3 linked regions of the Drosophila melanogaster genome follow. The protein of the gene in region 2 interacts with the protein of the main gene of each other region in a pairwise test. Each region holds a gene or a part of one and is shown on either strand. Other genes may lie near its edges.

Evidence for each region. Proteins that work in one complex are often made in the same cells at the same time.
Region 1: the proteins of ewg (region 2) and Cyt-c-p interact in a two-hybrid assay, tested with the Drosophila melanogaster proteins (one large-scale study listed by BioGRID).
Region 3: the proteins of ewg (region 2) and CG4617 interact in a two-hybrid assay, tested with the Drosophila melanogaster proteins (one large-scale study listed by BioGRID).

What each region holds. Positions count from the first base shown.
Region 1 is NT_033779.5:16,718,150-16,723,182, forward strand, and holds Cyt-c-p (cytochrome c proximal), read left to right. Parts: upstream 1-1,782; 5' UTR 1,783-1,827; intron 1,828-3,859; 5' UTR 3,860-3,900; coding exon 3,901-4,227; 3' UTR 4,228-4,495; downstream 4,496-5,033. Other genes in the region: Cyt-c-d (cytochrome c distal), read left to right, coding at 986-1,303. UniProt on the Drosophila melanogaster protein: Electron carrier protein. The oxidized form of the cytochrome c heme group can accept an electron from the heme group of the cytochrome c1 subunit of cytochrome reductase.
Region 2 is NC_004354.4:276,602-281,410, forward strand, and holds the start of ewg (erect wing), read right to left. Parts: upstream 3,034-4,809; 5' UTR 2,584-3,033; intron 1-2,583. UniProt on the Drosophila melanogaster protein: May function as a positive regulator of transcription in developing and differentiated neurons, regulating common aspects of neuronal differentiation and maintenance. Requirement in the CNS may be higher than in the peripheral system.
Region 3 is NC_004354.4:7,102,017-7,106,080, reverse strand, and holds CG4617 (uncharacterized protein), read left to right. Parts: upstream 1-1,589; 5' UTR 1,590-1,686; coding exon 1,687-1,720; intron 1,721-1,776; coding exon 1,777-2,289; intron 2,290-2,351; coding exon 2,352-3,061; 3' UTR 3,062-3,246; exon of another isoform or gene 3,247-3,371; 3' UTR 3,372-3,526; downstream 3,527-4,064. Other genes in the region: CG8300 (uncharacterized protein), read right to left, coding at 1-287, 689-925.

The DNA.
Region 1 (5,033 bases), on a different chromosome or scaffold from region 2:
GATGCACAGGGAGTACACCTAATACCAGTGCAGGGCTGCCAGGAAAATGTCATTGTTTGGATTTAGAATGTGACATTTACATACGTACGTAATATAAATATATAAATAATATCATTCTCTGAAAAATATCATAATGCACTCTTGTAAATTTAAAACAAATTTAATTTTAAGATAATTGGTTGAGATAAACATAGTTAATATTTTCAATTGATCCTTTAAATTTTAAATTGCAGGTGAATATCATCCCTGTGTGACCGTTGTATGCGGCATGGTTCCATGTCTCTTTCCCGTTATTCATTTCCCTCTGCTTTGTTTTTTTTTTTTTTGGTTTTGTTATGCGGTGGCATCTGTTTTTGCCACAGGAAAATGGTTGAGAGAGGGGAAGGCAGGGGGCGAAAGCGGAGAGTGCGTAAAATGCGTTTTAATTGAAAGGAAATGTTCAAAGCACATGTGCATCTGCTAGTCAACGAATTGGTTGGGAAAGGGGGTGGCAAGCCGAATGTGTCTGCTAATTGAATTACCTTTCGGTTGCTTTTCCCATTAGAAGTGCCGACAAGTTCTCGAGCTGCTTGTTTGCTTTTCATTTAATACCCATTTTGATTTAATTTTCGTTTTTCCTATTTTTCTGACCCAATTTTGTTTTGCTTTCGTGCATTAGCAGCTGTCTCTGTCTATCGCTGTGCAGCCAAGAGAGTGACCAAGAGAAACGCTCTCTCTCTCTCTCTCAGTTGTCCAGGACTTGCACTTTTCAAACGGTTTTTTAGGACACTGAAACAAATTGAATCTGTTTTTCTTTTCTATCAAATTTTTAGTTCTACACTTTTCTTTTTCATGATAGTTTCGGAATCAACCAATTTCTATTTGATCCAAATTAACAAAAAACAAATAACAAAAAATTAAAAAATATAGAAATAAAAGCTGCATAAAAAGTTGAATTCTAAATCATAAATATCATTTTTCCCTATTTGTCTTTCAGGCTTCCAAGATGGGTTCTGGTGATGCAGAGAACGGCAAGAAGATATTTGTGCAGAAGTGCGCCCAGTGCCACACCTACGAAGTGGGCGGCAAACACAAGGTGGGCCCAAATCTTGGCGGGGTCGTGGGTCGCAAGTGTGGCACAGCAGCGGGATACAAGTATACCGATGCCAATATAAAGAAGGGCGTTACCTGGACAGAGGGGAATTTGGACGAGTACCTCAAGGACCCGAAGAAATACATTCCCGGAACAAAGATGGTGTTCGCAGGTCTTAAAAAGGCTGAGGAGCGGGCCGATTTGATTGCCTTCCTCAAGTCAAACAAGTAGAATCGCCTGCGAAACAACAAGATCGGCCACCATGCTATCCAGAAAACTGCGCTTAAAGACTACAAACATATTCAAAAGATGACGTATTTCACTTGGATTTCGAAACTTTGATTGGGAATGGTCGAGCTCAAATACATTTCAAAAAGGTTTACTTTCACTTTAGCCAATTAAAGTTGATAAACCAAAAACCCTCTTCTTAATTCAAGTTGTGTGCGACGCGGGTGGAGGAAAGTGTTGTACCAATCAGCTTTGGTCACAGTTGGTTTTATGGTCCTACTAGCAAAATGTAATAAATTGGAGAAGCTTGTTAAATAATGCAAATTTTCCAGAGGCTTTCCAATATAGTCCCGTTAATAGGGGAAAAAATTACTTATACGCCGTGTGGTGGATAAATACGGGTACAAAAGCTTGCGACATTTTTTAATGCGTGGCCCCCGGTCACTCTGGTCACACTAATTACCTATCGACATAACGCGCGCTCGTCATTCGTGAAAAATCGGCGACGCTCGACGTTTGTGTTCAATGTAAGTAGTGGGTGGAATTTTTGTATTTTCAAGTGACGTAAATATTACCTTGAATAGTTATTGATTATCAAGCCCCAAGTCAGATAAAGATTAGAAACACTTCCGTGTCATTTACGTAACATCCAGCAGCTGTGTTTTGTTCTGAAAATGATTCGCATGCAAATTTAACGTATTCTTTGGGGGATGATTCAGGTTACATAAACGTGTCCTTGTGTGTGTGTGTATAAGTGTGATTTTTTATTAGATATTTAATAGTTTATTTAGCAAATATTAGCAGTGGTGTATTAATAGTAAAAATAGCATCCCAAAGTCACATTGCCATTGAAAAAAGCCCCGGAGAGAGTCGATTACATGAGCAAAGAGAGTGGCGTACCCGATCATCAGCTGTCTCGCTCGCTCAGTGGCAAAAATTAATTCTTGGATTTTTTGTCAATGCTTCAGCTTTGGAGTCTTTAAGCGCGCCACGTGGTTGCTAAGCAGGTTTTGCTTTCTGCGATGTGCAGTTTTCTATAATATAAATAAAAGAGAATTCACCTCTGCGAAAAGGCGGCTTATGTAACATTCGCTGCTCTCAGGAAACTTGGATGTTGGCCCAATTTTCACTCATCTCTTTGTTCTCACCACCTTGCTCACCCACACAAGGAAAAACACAGCTGCCTTTGGCCTGCTTCCAATTTTCCAATTGCACTTTCCCTTCATCTCACGCACACTCACGCACGGCAATTAACTGAAAAATACTCAACAAGGCCAAATCGGATGTTGACATTGTTGTTGCTTTGCCACCTCTCACTGCCAAAGTGCATGATACTCTACACAGAAAGAAGTGAAAAAAAGGTTGATATTAAATGCAAATTATGTGTAAAAGCGCACAAAATCAATAGTCTATATATATTAGGTTTGTTTTTATAGACAAATGCATATAAAATAAAATTAGTTTTCTAGAATTGAAAGAGCTTCAGCTAATCGAATTTCTCTCAGTCTATGTGCGTGATGTGTAGGTGAATTACTCACCGCAACGGTACTTTGCACTCTCAAGTTCAAATTGCTGCATGCAATTTATAATCCGGCAATTAGCAGGATGACCGTAACACAGACCCTGGAATAATAGAATAGTTATGTAAACAACTAACGTTTTTCGTATTATGATGCTTCCTGGAAGTTTTCCGCCTGTTGCTGAGCAGTTCTGACGCAATTAATCGGCGACTGGCAAATATAAGCGAGTGAGACACAAAGAGAGTGTGAGAAGGAGAGAAAGAGTGTGGGGGCAACATGTGACCAGCGTCTGAAGCTTTTTCAAAGTGTGTTTCTGATGACGTTGCGACGCCCTCCACGCGCGTATTAGTGAGAGCAAAGTATGTGGGTTAAAAAGGGGGTGGCCGCAAATGGAAATGCAGACTACGTTAGATAATAATTTCGGGCCTTATCAGAAACAACAGCCGACTAATGCACTTAGCATGAGCAATTTTAATAATTCCGTTTCCGCAGGGAGCTTATCAATTGTTTACATAACGGGGCAAGGGGACAAATATTAATTCACGGTCCATAACTACCTACATTAACCCATTATTTCCCAAGCATGGAAATTTTTGATGATATAAAGACGTTATTATTTTAATACCTTAAAAATATATAATATTATATAAGTAACGTTGGGAAATCAACTGGTTAATAAATTTTAAATTTCGGGTTTATTTATTCAATAATCTTTTGATAATGTATGGCTGAAAGTGAAGCTTTTATCAGTATCTACACAATGGTTCATTGGGGCTAATAATAAATGGTATCAAATATCGTATAACTATTTTTTGCAGTGAAACCAGAATTTCGGACTAAGTACATAAGCAAATGATATAAAATATATATTGTAATCAATTTATCAGAATAGAACAAATTAATTGGTAGCAGTTATGAACTTTGAACCATTTAGTAGCCAGTTTTTTAAGTTTTTCAAACCTAAGATGTAAGATAACAGATATATTGGTTACCCTTGTTTTATGAACCACTCATTAATAACAAACATTTCTTTTTACAGTCGAGTCCGTGTTAACACATTAATTAACCACATAATCCATAATGGGCGTTCCTGCTGGTGATGTTGAGAAGGGAAAGAAGCTGTTCGTGCAGCGCTGCGCCCAGTGCCACACCGTTGAGGCTGGTGGCAAGCACAAGGTTGGACCCAATCTGCATGGTCTGATCGGTCGCAAGACCGGACAGGCGGCCGGATTCGCGTACACGGACGCCAACAAGGCCAAGGGCATCACCTGGAACGAGGACACCCTGTTCGAGTACCTGGAGAACCCCAAGAAGTACATCCCCGGCACCAAGATGATCTTCGCCGGTCTGAAGAAGCCCAACGAGCGCGGCGATCTGATCGCCTACCTGAAGTCGGCGACCAAGTAATGGTGCTGTCCATCAACTTACCCACAACCACTGCAGGATGTCAAACTGTATTATTGTGTTCAGTCACAGTCCGGCACGCAAATGCAGCAGCAGCAACAACTACAACTACAAATCAACATAGTACAGACCTAAAGAACTACAATTATGTTAATTATAAAGTTTAAATAGGACAATTTATTATTTAATTTAAATAAAAAGTGGAATATTTAATTCAAACCCGATGAGAATTGTGACATCCACAAAAAAGTTAAATAATAAAAAAAGAACTAAAAAATGATATAAAATCTGTTTTATGCGAGGACCTGGTTTTTGTAGCTCGCAGGTCAAAAAGAATAAAAAAAGCTTCTTCAGATTTTTGACTCGGGCAACTCAAATTAAAAATAAGAGATACCAATCATATTTATAAAACAATTGTCCTGGCAATTTCTATCAATAGGTATCTGTTAGTCGTCAAACTCGACTGCAGCATACTCTTTGCGTCTGTCAAAAATGTTGTTGGCTGATCTATATAGGCCTTACTCATCTGAGTCGCACAAAGATGACCACAAATCATCCTGGGTTGCTGCAAATTCCTTAGTTCATTGCGTGGAGGTAGACATCACTAAAAACATCCAACAAAGAAAGAGTCGATACGTTACGCAGAAACATCACAATAAGATTGTATTACTGAGAGAGAAAGTAGAAAACTATTAGGGTCGAAATGCTCTCTTAATGCACATTCTATTTGGCCAATCGTTAAACAAGAATACACTGGTATTTTTATATTTTTTGGCTAATTTATGTATATTTTCTTTTACACTCCCAAA
Region 2 (4,809 bases):
CTTAAATCCCACACCTTTCACCGCACTGAATACACACGCAAACTCGCCCAGCTCGAGGTGCACCTCACGATGAAACTATCTTATGCAGTGTTTTTATTTATTTTCCTTGGATCTTTTTTAAACTACCACGCATGCACTACTCGAACTACCCAATCACCCCCGCGAAACAATGCAGTGGGAACACCACCAACTCCCACGTCCTTATAGGGGATGTGAGCACGACCCACTTGCGCGTGCCACACATATATCGAGAAAAGTGGCCCAGCAAAAGTGAGCACACTTCTAAACCTTGATTGTAATCAAAATAGGCATCTGATGATGAGAGAAAGGGGAAAAGAGTAGAGAGAGTATATGTTCACCCCCTAAGACACATACATATATACATTCTTATCCGGATTCTGAAAAAGGTGGGTGATGAAATTGTGTGAAGGAACCTAAAGTATTGCCAAATTAAAAAGCTCTGCGTTTGTTGGATGTAGTCTTCAGGTTTTCTTTCTAATTATAGAAGTAGGCCATTTTAGAGTCCTTTAAGATTTAAGGCCTACACAGTGATGCCCACAGGTTGCAGTAAGCGCAACTAAACTTTGTGTCGGAAGTTAGCAACACTGTAAAGAAGGCATTTGCGATGTATACTATTCTTGATCAGTGTCAACACCACAGGCGACAAAGCCACGTCCGTCTATACGTGTCTACGAAAATTATTCTCTTAGTTTTAATGTTATATGCTTGCACCTTTTCCAAGAGTATTCTTTGTCTTGCACATGGTATATTATTCGGTACGGAATAATAAAAAAAAAAATAATTTAAAAAAGTGTAGCATCGTTGTTTTAACATCTGTACATATATATACATAAGTATATATATATATATATACATATATACACTTCAATATATTTCGGTTGTAATTGCATCGAGAAGTCGAAAAGTCACAGGGAAATTGAGGAAAAAGAATCCTAGTTTGTTTTTATATTTCGCACAAAGCGTATACTCGTAAAAGCCGTTTTTGACATCATAATTTCGGTTTCAATTTGATCAAAATATTAGAAAAGAAATTATACTCTTGTTGTATCCGATCATAAATTCTTCTTATTCGGTGTTTTCTCAATTTACTATTTAATGTAAGCGTATGTGTGCTTTCGCGTTTTATATGTATTCTTAAGGCAATTTTTAGTATTCGTGAATATTTCATTATTTTTGAATATTTAAATTCTTTAACCCCAGCTTCCGTAAACTCCAAAAAGTTACTGCCGTTTACATCGAAGTATCGTTTATTCTATCTATACATATATAGGAAAATTAAAAATACCTTAAGACACTTTTTTATAATTTTAAGCATGCAAGACTAACAGCCGCAATAATTACCAAATTATGATAAGACAATTTGTTATGTTCTGCAAAGAATTGACCCCACCGTGTTTTTTTACTTTCCCTTTCCCACAATCGAATTTTCTTGGTACTGCTGTTTCTCTCTCTCCCTCTCTTAATTTCCCACCATACTCTTTTTTCTGTGCTGGACAGCACAGCTCTACAAAAATGAAATGATAACAGCGAAAATACAAACGAGAGGCAAGTTACGCATGCGAAGGTTGTCGCGGCAGTGGAGTCGGCGCAAAGACCACCACTGTTCATAGCAATGCAGTGACAGAAATATACATATGTATGTACATATACAACCAACAGTAAGAGTTCGTAGGAGTTTATAGTCGGGGAAACAGGAAAATACCAGCAAAAATGTAATCTTCTTGTTATGTCTAAATTTTTATATTTGTTTGAGCTATTAAATGTTCTTGACTATCTTAAACTCATCTCGAGTAGAAACTATTTTTGTTAGGCATGTGTTTAAATCGGCCATAAAATAAATAAAATACTCTTATTCCTTAGATTTAAAAGATGTAACAAATATAATCTGTAATTGTAGGCTGGCCGTTGCCCTGTTCCAATTGGAACTGTACTTTTATAGCCCACCCCAATACAACCTATAACAGTGGCGTCCTTCACTATTGGAACTGGAAAAACCCAATGAAGGTTGCTGTGAGCTAGCCATCCCGCTCTGTTTATCCATGTGTGTATCTACAAATTTTTCGTCTCTAGGGGGTGGTTTGGGTGTTTTTCGCAACCCCAAAAACGTCAGAATCACACAGACACAGATGCATCAAAAACACGCATACCTTCCAATGCAAATGGGAAATGCGTGTGCTGTCGTGCACACAATTGGAAGTGATACCTGTTTGGCGTTTCTATTCTACAACCCTACTTTACACATCATCCTTCCTATCGGAGTTTCCTGTCTTTGTTTTAACTTTTAGCTGAGGCGCATGGTTAAGTTACGGACACTCGCAGTTGGATTTTCATTTACGGCGCCGATGTAACGGTAACACAAGCTAAATACACCAGCACACATATATGATAACCTAATACACACACACAAGCCAGCAAGAACCGTTAGCTCAGAAACTCCGAAACTTTTGGGCATTCACTTATGCCACTACAAATCTCTATATACACATATAAATTATAGACTGTCACAGTGGAAAATCGGAAAATTTGTTGACCCCTACCACTAGTTTACACCCACATACGCACCTGTGTATTTTTGTTGTTTTTCCAGCTCCTTTATGATAACACACATACACACTCACAAAGAAAAAAAAGGCGCACGCACACGAACGCGCCGCCGCTATTGTGCATTGGTGTGTTTGCCCCTGCGCCGAAAATTTTCTTTGGCGTTTATTTATTATCACACTGCACATGCGAATATTCCGTGCATTTTACATTTGCGCACTGCCGTTTCTAGGTTGTAGCTCCAAAATTTCCCGCTCGCAAAGTTTCGCTGTTTTCCCTCACGATGCTTTTCCGTTAGCTTAGTTTTCAGCTGCCTGTCCCAGCACTTTTCCCCAAGTTTCGACGCAATTTTGCGATTTAATTTAGCCGAGGAATGGTATTTAGTACATGACAAATATCGATATACAGCACGCGTGATTTTTTCAGACGTCGATAATGTACACGCAATACATATCGCAGTCGAAGGAAAGCGGTCACTCTAAAATGCATAGGAGAAACGAGGATTGGCGGTCCCACTAATTGTGCTATTTAAGTTTAAATTCAAGTCCCCCTAGCGGACTTATATTAGTTGAAAAATTGATTGTATATTTTTGAGTAAGCATATAATAATCCATAAATATAATAATATAATAATAATTTTTGATATAAGAAATTTAAGTTTTCTGGTGCCAAAAAGATTTTAGTCTTTCTATGCAGGGAAAATTTGTTCCCTGGGCTTGCCACGTCCTCTATTACACTCACATATTTATAATAGTTTCATATTTATTTAGTTTGTTATTTTTTAGAAGAGTTTTTAAATTTCTCTCTAGCACTCCACCATCTCCGTATCTGATAAGAGACAGTTTATTAGTAGCTTTTTTTAAAGGTTTATATTATGAACGCTACAAAGAATATACAACATTTGATCCACGAATTAATCAGATGTAGTTATTAATGTAACAAAACTTTTAGGATACCCCAAAATAATGGTAAATTTTAAACAGTCGAAAAATTTATTATTCGGGAGTCGAACTGCAATTACACGTAAGCCCTTCACAAGGCAGCTAGCAATATTTAAAAAGGAGTAAGCTAGCCAGGCCAAATGAAAAACTGACATACAATCAACTTCGTATTTCACACGCGGGAAATTTAACAAAAAATAAAAAACAAAAAAATAGTTTAGGGATATGAAATCCTGAAGGATTGGTAAACTAGAACGACCGAAGACGACTAACTGCTTGCCACCAAAAATGTTGGGTTTTTATGTCCGTCGTCGGCACTCACACAATAAAATTCATTATTAGGATGTATATAGTGATAAAAGGAATTGTTTTTTTTTAACACAGATTGCCCGTATGTAAAAACCAAAGAATTCATATTATATAAAAAGAAACCACAAGTTGCTTATCGCTGTGAAATGAGGCTGGTAGTGCGCTTGCACTATGGGGAATTTAACATGTTTTATTGGCATAAATTAATATCTCGTAAACTATTTAAGATACGATGAATTTAGAATTATTTTGGCAAAGTGGGTGCCCCGCCCACTCCCATAAAATTTTTTTTTTAAATCAATATATTCTATCTAATCCACCAATGTATTGGAGTTACACCATGTTTTAGATTGTCCACAATCGGTACAAACTTAAGTCTCTTAACATTTTTATTGATAAAAAAATCTTTCAGAGTCGCATTTCGTACACTTCTATCAGGGCCGCATTGCTGATTGCTACCTAAAAATGTAATCTTCGCGAAAAGTCACAATAAGTAGCATTCGCAAAAGTCGCGTTAACCGTATGTGTTCTAAGTAGGTAATTAATCACTCTAAAACATTGACTAACACACATATCAAAAATTTTTTGAAACTCAATTAATTTTCGTAAGCACTAAAAAAGAAGGTCATCGATGGCACGTGGTTTTTAACATTGATTAATTTACATTTGCGTTACATAACTTAAGCCTTGATCTTAATCCGTTAAGAAAAAAGTGTTCAACAATTGAAACATTTTTAAAAACACATTTATGCCAAAAAACGAATCAAATTCCCCATAGTGGCTTTGGATTTATCTGAAACTTGGCCCTACTTATTCCTTATCGGCAATTCTTCCGGAATTCTACACGAACTGGCCTTATCGGTTCTGCATAATCGAAACTGGCAGTGATCTTGAATTCAGTATTTAATCCAGCTTGGCAACTTAAAACTGAATTGGGTCAAAGGGGTCGAGGCGTGTACTATTTCCGTTTATTTCACAATTGGCAATAATATTCTTC
Region 3 (4,064 bases), 6.8 Mb from region 2:
CGTGTTGGTTCGCATAGGACGATGGTTTCGTTGCGATTGTTGTTGCCGCTGCTGTTGTTGTTGCTGCTACTGGTCGTGGTCGACATGGCCCGCGGGTGCCAATTGTCAAGGTCCTCGTCGCCGTGCTCCTTGGCCCTGTGGTAGTTCTCCAATTCGCTGGCATACTTGCTGCTGGTGATACCAAGCAGGTGGGCCAGCCCACCGCCCACATAGTCGATGCCGGCCAGGAATCGGTTGCCCATCCTGCTGGCCTTGTAACGCAGGCGTGGTCCCAGCGGCATTTCGCTCTAAAAGGTGGCAAAAAAAAAAAAAGCGGGCTAAATGAGTCACGCTAAATGGTCAATGAGGAGGGGGGCGGGGGGTGGCAGCTGCTTATCTTTTTCGTGGCCCTGGGCCCTGTTTGTTTACTTAAACAGCTCAAAACACACATTTTCATTGAAAGATATAAAATTTCTCACATTATTATCATAATTCGCTTCGAACATTAGTCACGTCTCGAGCTCAAAGTGAAAAGTTATTATCTGGATCAGGAGAACTGGGCTAATCTTGAGCAAATTTAACTAACTGTGTTAATCCGGACAATCCCGCTTTAAAAAAGGTAAACAAGCAATGCAGCTACATGACCATGTACTAAATGGATGGCCGGAAGTGCATTACTCCACCCATAATCCTTGCTGAATGTATGTACCTCGTTTAAATGGACGTCGTAGCATTTGTCGCCCATTTCCGCATCCGCCTCGTCCTCGCTGCCCGAGGACAACTCCTCCATGACGCCGTCGCTAAAGTACAGCATGCGCTTGTTGGACTGCAGTTCAAGGGCGCTCACATTGTCCGTCTCGGATGCACTTGCTCCACTCGCAGATGCCAGTTCCAATCCTCCAGCTGCACTGCGTACTTCGCCACTCTTGTTCCTCTCCGCTGACATGGCTATGGATAGCTCTAAACCCGATTAAGTACCGCCTCGATTGATTGACGCTGCGCGAATGTTTTTGCTTGCGCTTGAGCTTCGTTTGAATCGCAGCCGCCGTTTTGGTCATGAAAAAAGCGGACGCGGGTCAACGCCAAATGCGTATACGGCCGGCTGGGGGCCAAAATGTCCTTGGGTTGGGGGCCACCGGCGAAACGACTCACAAACGGCGAGAATCGCGTGCCATGGGGCGCTTGGCGCAGTTAGGTGCAAAGCAAATCGATAAACTAAAAGCCGCTTTCAAACAGCAAAAAAAAAAGTCGAAACAAAACAAAGGTGCGGCAGTGTGACCAGCTGATGGTTTTTGCAAGCTAACTGGATATTAATTTAGATGTATTGTAATAAAAATGAAATTGCAGTCGTATATATCGTAAATGTTTTTGTTTATAAAAATAATTAATAATATAATAAAAAAATTAAGTTGTGCGTGCACATCCTGTGCTTATAATTTAAATAATATAACAATAAAAAATATTATATTATTAAATAATTAAGTTTAATGGTTTCCTACTCTGTACAATTGACTGGTGCAATGGTTATTAACTTAGCAATATATTCAAAAACTAAAATGGTTATCTAGTGTTCCATATTTAACCATCGCTTGCAATGCATCGCGTTTTAAAGCTCTGGTCACACCAAACAGCTGTTTTGTTTGCTTCGTTTAATTCGTTCTTTTTGCAACAAATTGCATCCCAATCTTCCAAAGCAGGTATCCAAACATGGAGTCCCCAACCTCGCACCTGGTGGCCAAGGGTGAGTGGAAAAAGCGGCAGCCGTCAATGGAATCGGGGTCATAAATTCCCAATTAGATTTCCAGGTGACGGGTGTTTCGCGCAGCGGACGCGTACGCAAAAAATCGTCGAAATTGTTGGATTTTGAATCTCCGGATGAGATCGAGAAGCGCACAAGGCGTCACAGTGGCGCCAGACAGCCAGCCAGATATTCGGGCCGCGGCAGGCCATCGAATGCGCTGCGTGATCTGGATCTTGACCAGGAGATGCTCGTGGATGATGGCATTATCTCGGATAGCGAGGAATTCCATCCGGATACAACGGCAACGGTCGTGGCCATTCTGAATTCCGACGATGAACTGGACAATCTGGTGCAGGATATCGTCGATGGTGTCCAGGCGGAGGCCACCAGCCAAGAGTCATCCGTCCGTCAGAGTCTTTACATGCGCGAGAAGTCCAACAAGCGGCAGGTGCTCAAGGACGGCAAGGTGGTGAGTGCCAAGGTGCAGCGCAAGGACAAGGGCAAGCAGCGCTACACCGCCTACAGTCTGTGGGCCAAGGAGGCGCGACAGAAGGATCTCCAGGATCTAGGTAGGTTGCTACACATCTGTGCGCTCTCTATCGCTTATTGACCATTCCCCGCACGCTTGCAGACTTCACCAGCGCGACCAGACGCCTCAGCGAGCTGTGGGCGAACGTTTCCAATCGGGACAAGAACACCTGGCGGCGCAAGGCCAAAATCGAGGCGTCCAGGGCCAAAACTCGCGACAAAACCGCTGCAAACGGTGCAACCCAGCCGGCGAGCAACGGCAGCACGGCTCTGGCAGATGCCACGCAGCACGAGACGATCTTTCAGAACCGTGCGACAACAAGTCGCACTCGAAAACTGGCCGCCGATCGGCAGCAATCCTCAATAGAAGCGGCTGCCGCAGCGGCGGCAGCAGCAGCGACTGGCACCAACACACAGCGGCGCAGCATCAGCACACGAAGTGCCAGGTCGCAGGTCTCGAAGAGCGCGACGAAACAAGCGCAAGTGCACACGGATGCGGACGTCAGCGGCCGGACTGGGGGTCAGCTGAAGCAGGAGGAGGTGCAAAAGACCAGCATCGAAGTGATCGATGCGGCCGCACATCTGAAGCTGCTCGGCGAGAGCCTGACTGTGATTGGCGAGCGACTGAAGAAGCACAATGGATACGTGGCGCTATCGGGCAGCTTGTCCGTGCTCCTCGACAGCCTGCTCTGCGCCATGGGACCGCTGCTCTGCATGACCACGCAAATACCCGGCATGGAGAACAATGTGCAGTTGAGCAAAAATCTGGCCGACACGCTCGACAACATCGCCTACGTAATGCCCGGACTATGAAGTAAATTCCGGATTGCAACTGCAAATGCATACATATATATATATATATAATCATACCAGGCCGCTGCGCTTCCAGCGGCGACTAGAGTCGCCATCGGGATCTGTATGTTTGTAAGGAGTTGGCCAACCTGGAAATAGTTAATCGCATTAGATATGCCTAGTTGATAAACTGAAGCATCTAGATCGTAAGTAAAAGGTCTCCCTCTAATTGAGTTTTTTTTTTATTTGCTTCTTGAATTGAAATTCGTACGCTAAAAAGTTTAGTAGTTCACTTATTTATTTCCACTTTTTGTTTTTTGCAACATTTAAGCACAAATCATCGAAACATTGGTAGAATTAGGCAACATTAAATATCCTATAATCCTTAAGTGAAATAAATGTGAATCACAAGATTCTTATTTCAGCTTCAAATTAAGCAGGCACTTTTTATAATAAACGTAATAAATAAAGATAAATATAAAAGCTAAAAATATGAGATGATTTCTTCCTCTGCCCAAAAATCTTTATAAAAGTGAAATATTTTTAAAAATGATCTCAAATAAGCCATAATTGAAGGTTCGAATAGTGGAACTATAAGCTAGATATAAACTTTAAATATTTATAAATACGTTAATTATTTGCTTACTTTCTAGAGATGGCACTTCGCTGGTGCGCCATCGATGACTTGGCTTGCCGTTACAACGGCGAGCTATCGATGTTACATCGCCGCCCTGCCCACCACTAGCCAGTCCGCGGAAAGTAAATAAGAAGACGGACGCCAAATCGAATCTTCCCACATCCCCGGATGCAGTGCAGCAAGCTCTGGGTCCCTGAGAATCCTGCGTGGGCCTGGGATTCCGAATCCTCTTCCGCCCCGGATCCGCACGTCAGCGCGGCATCCGCATCCGCCACCGCTTCCGCCCACGCACAGCATCCGCAGCCACATCCGCGGCAGCAAAAAAACGGTGAGTTTTCCACCTGCATTTTTTTTTGGATTTTCCGGGGGGGGGGGGGGCAGCAGCTG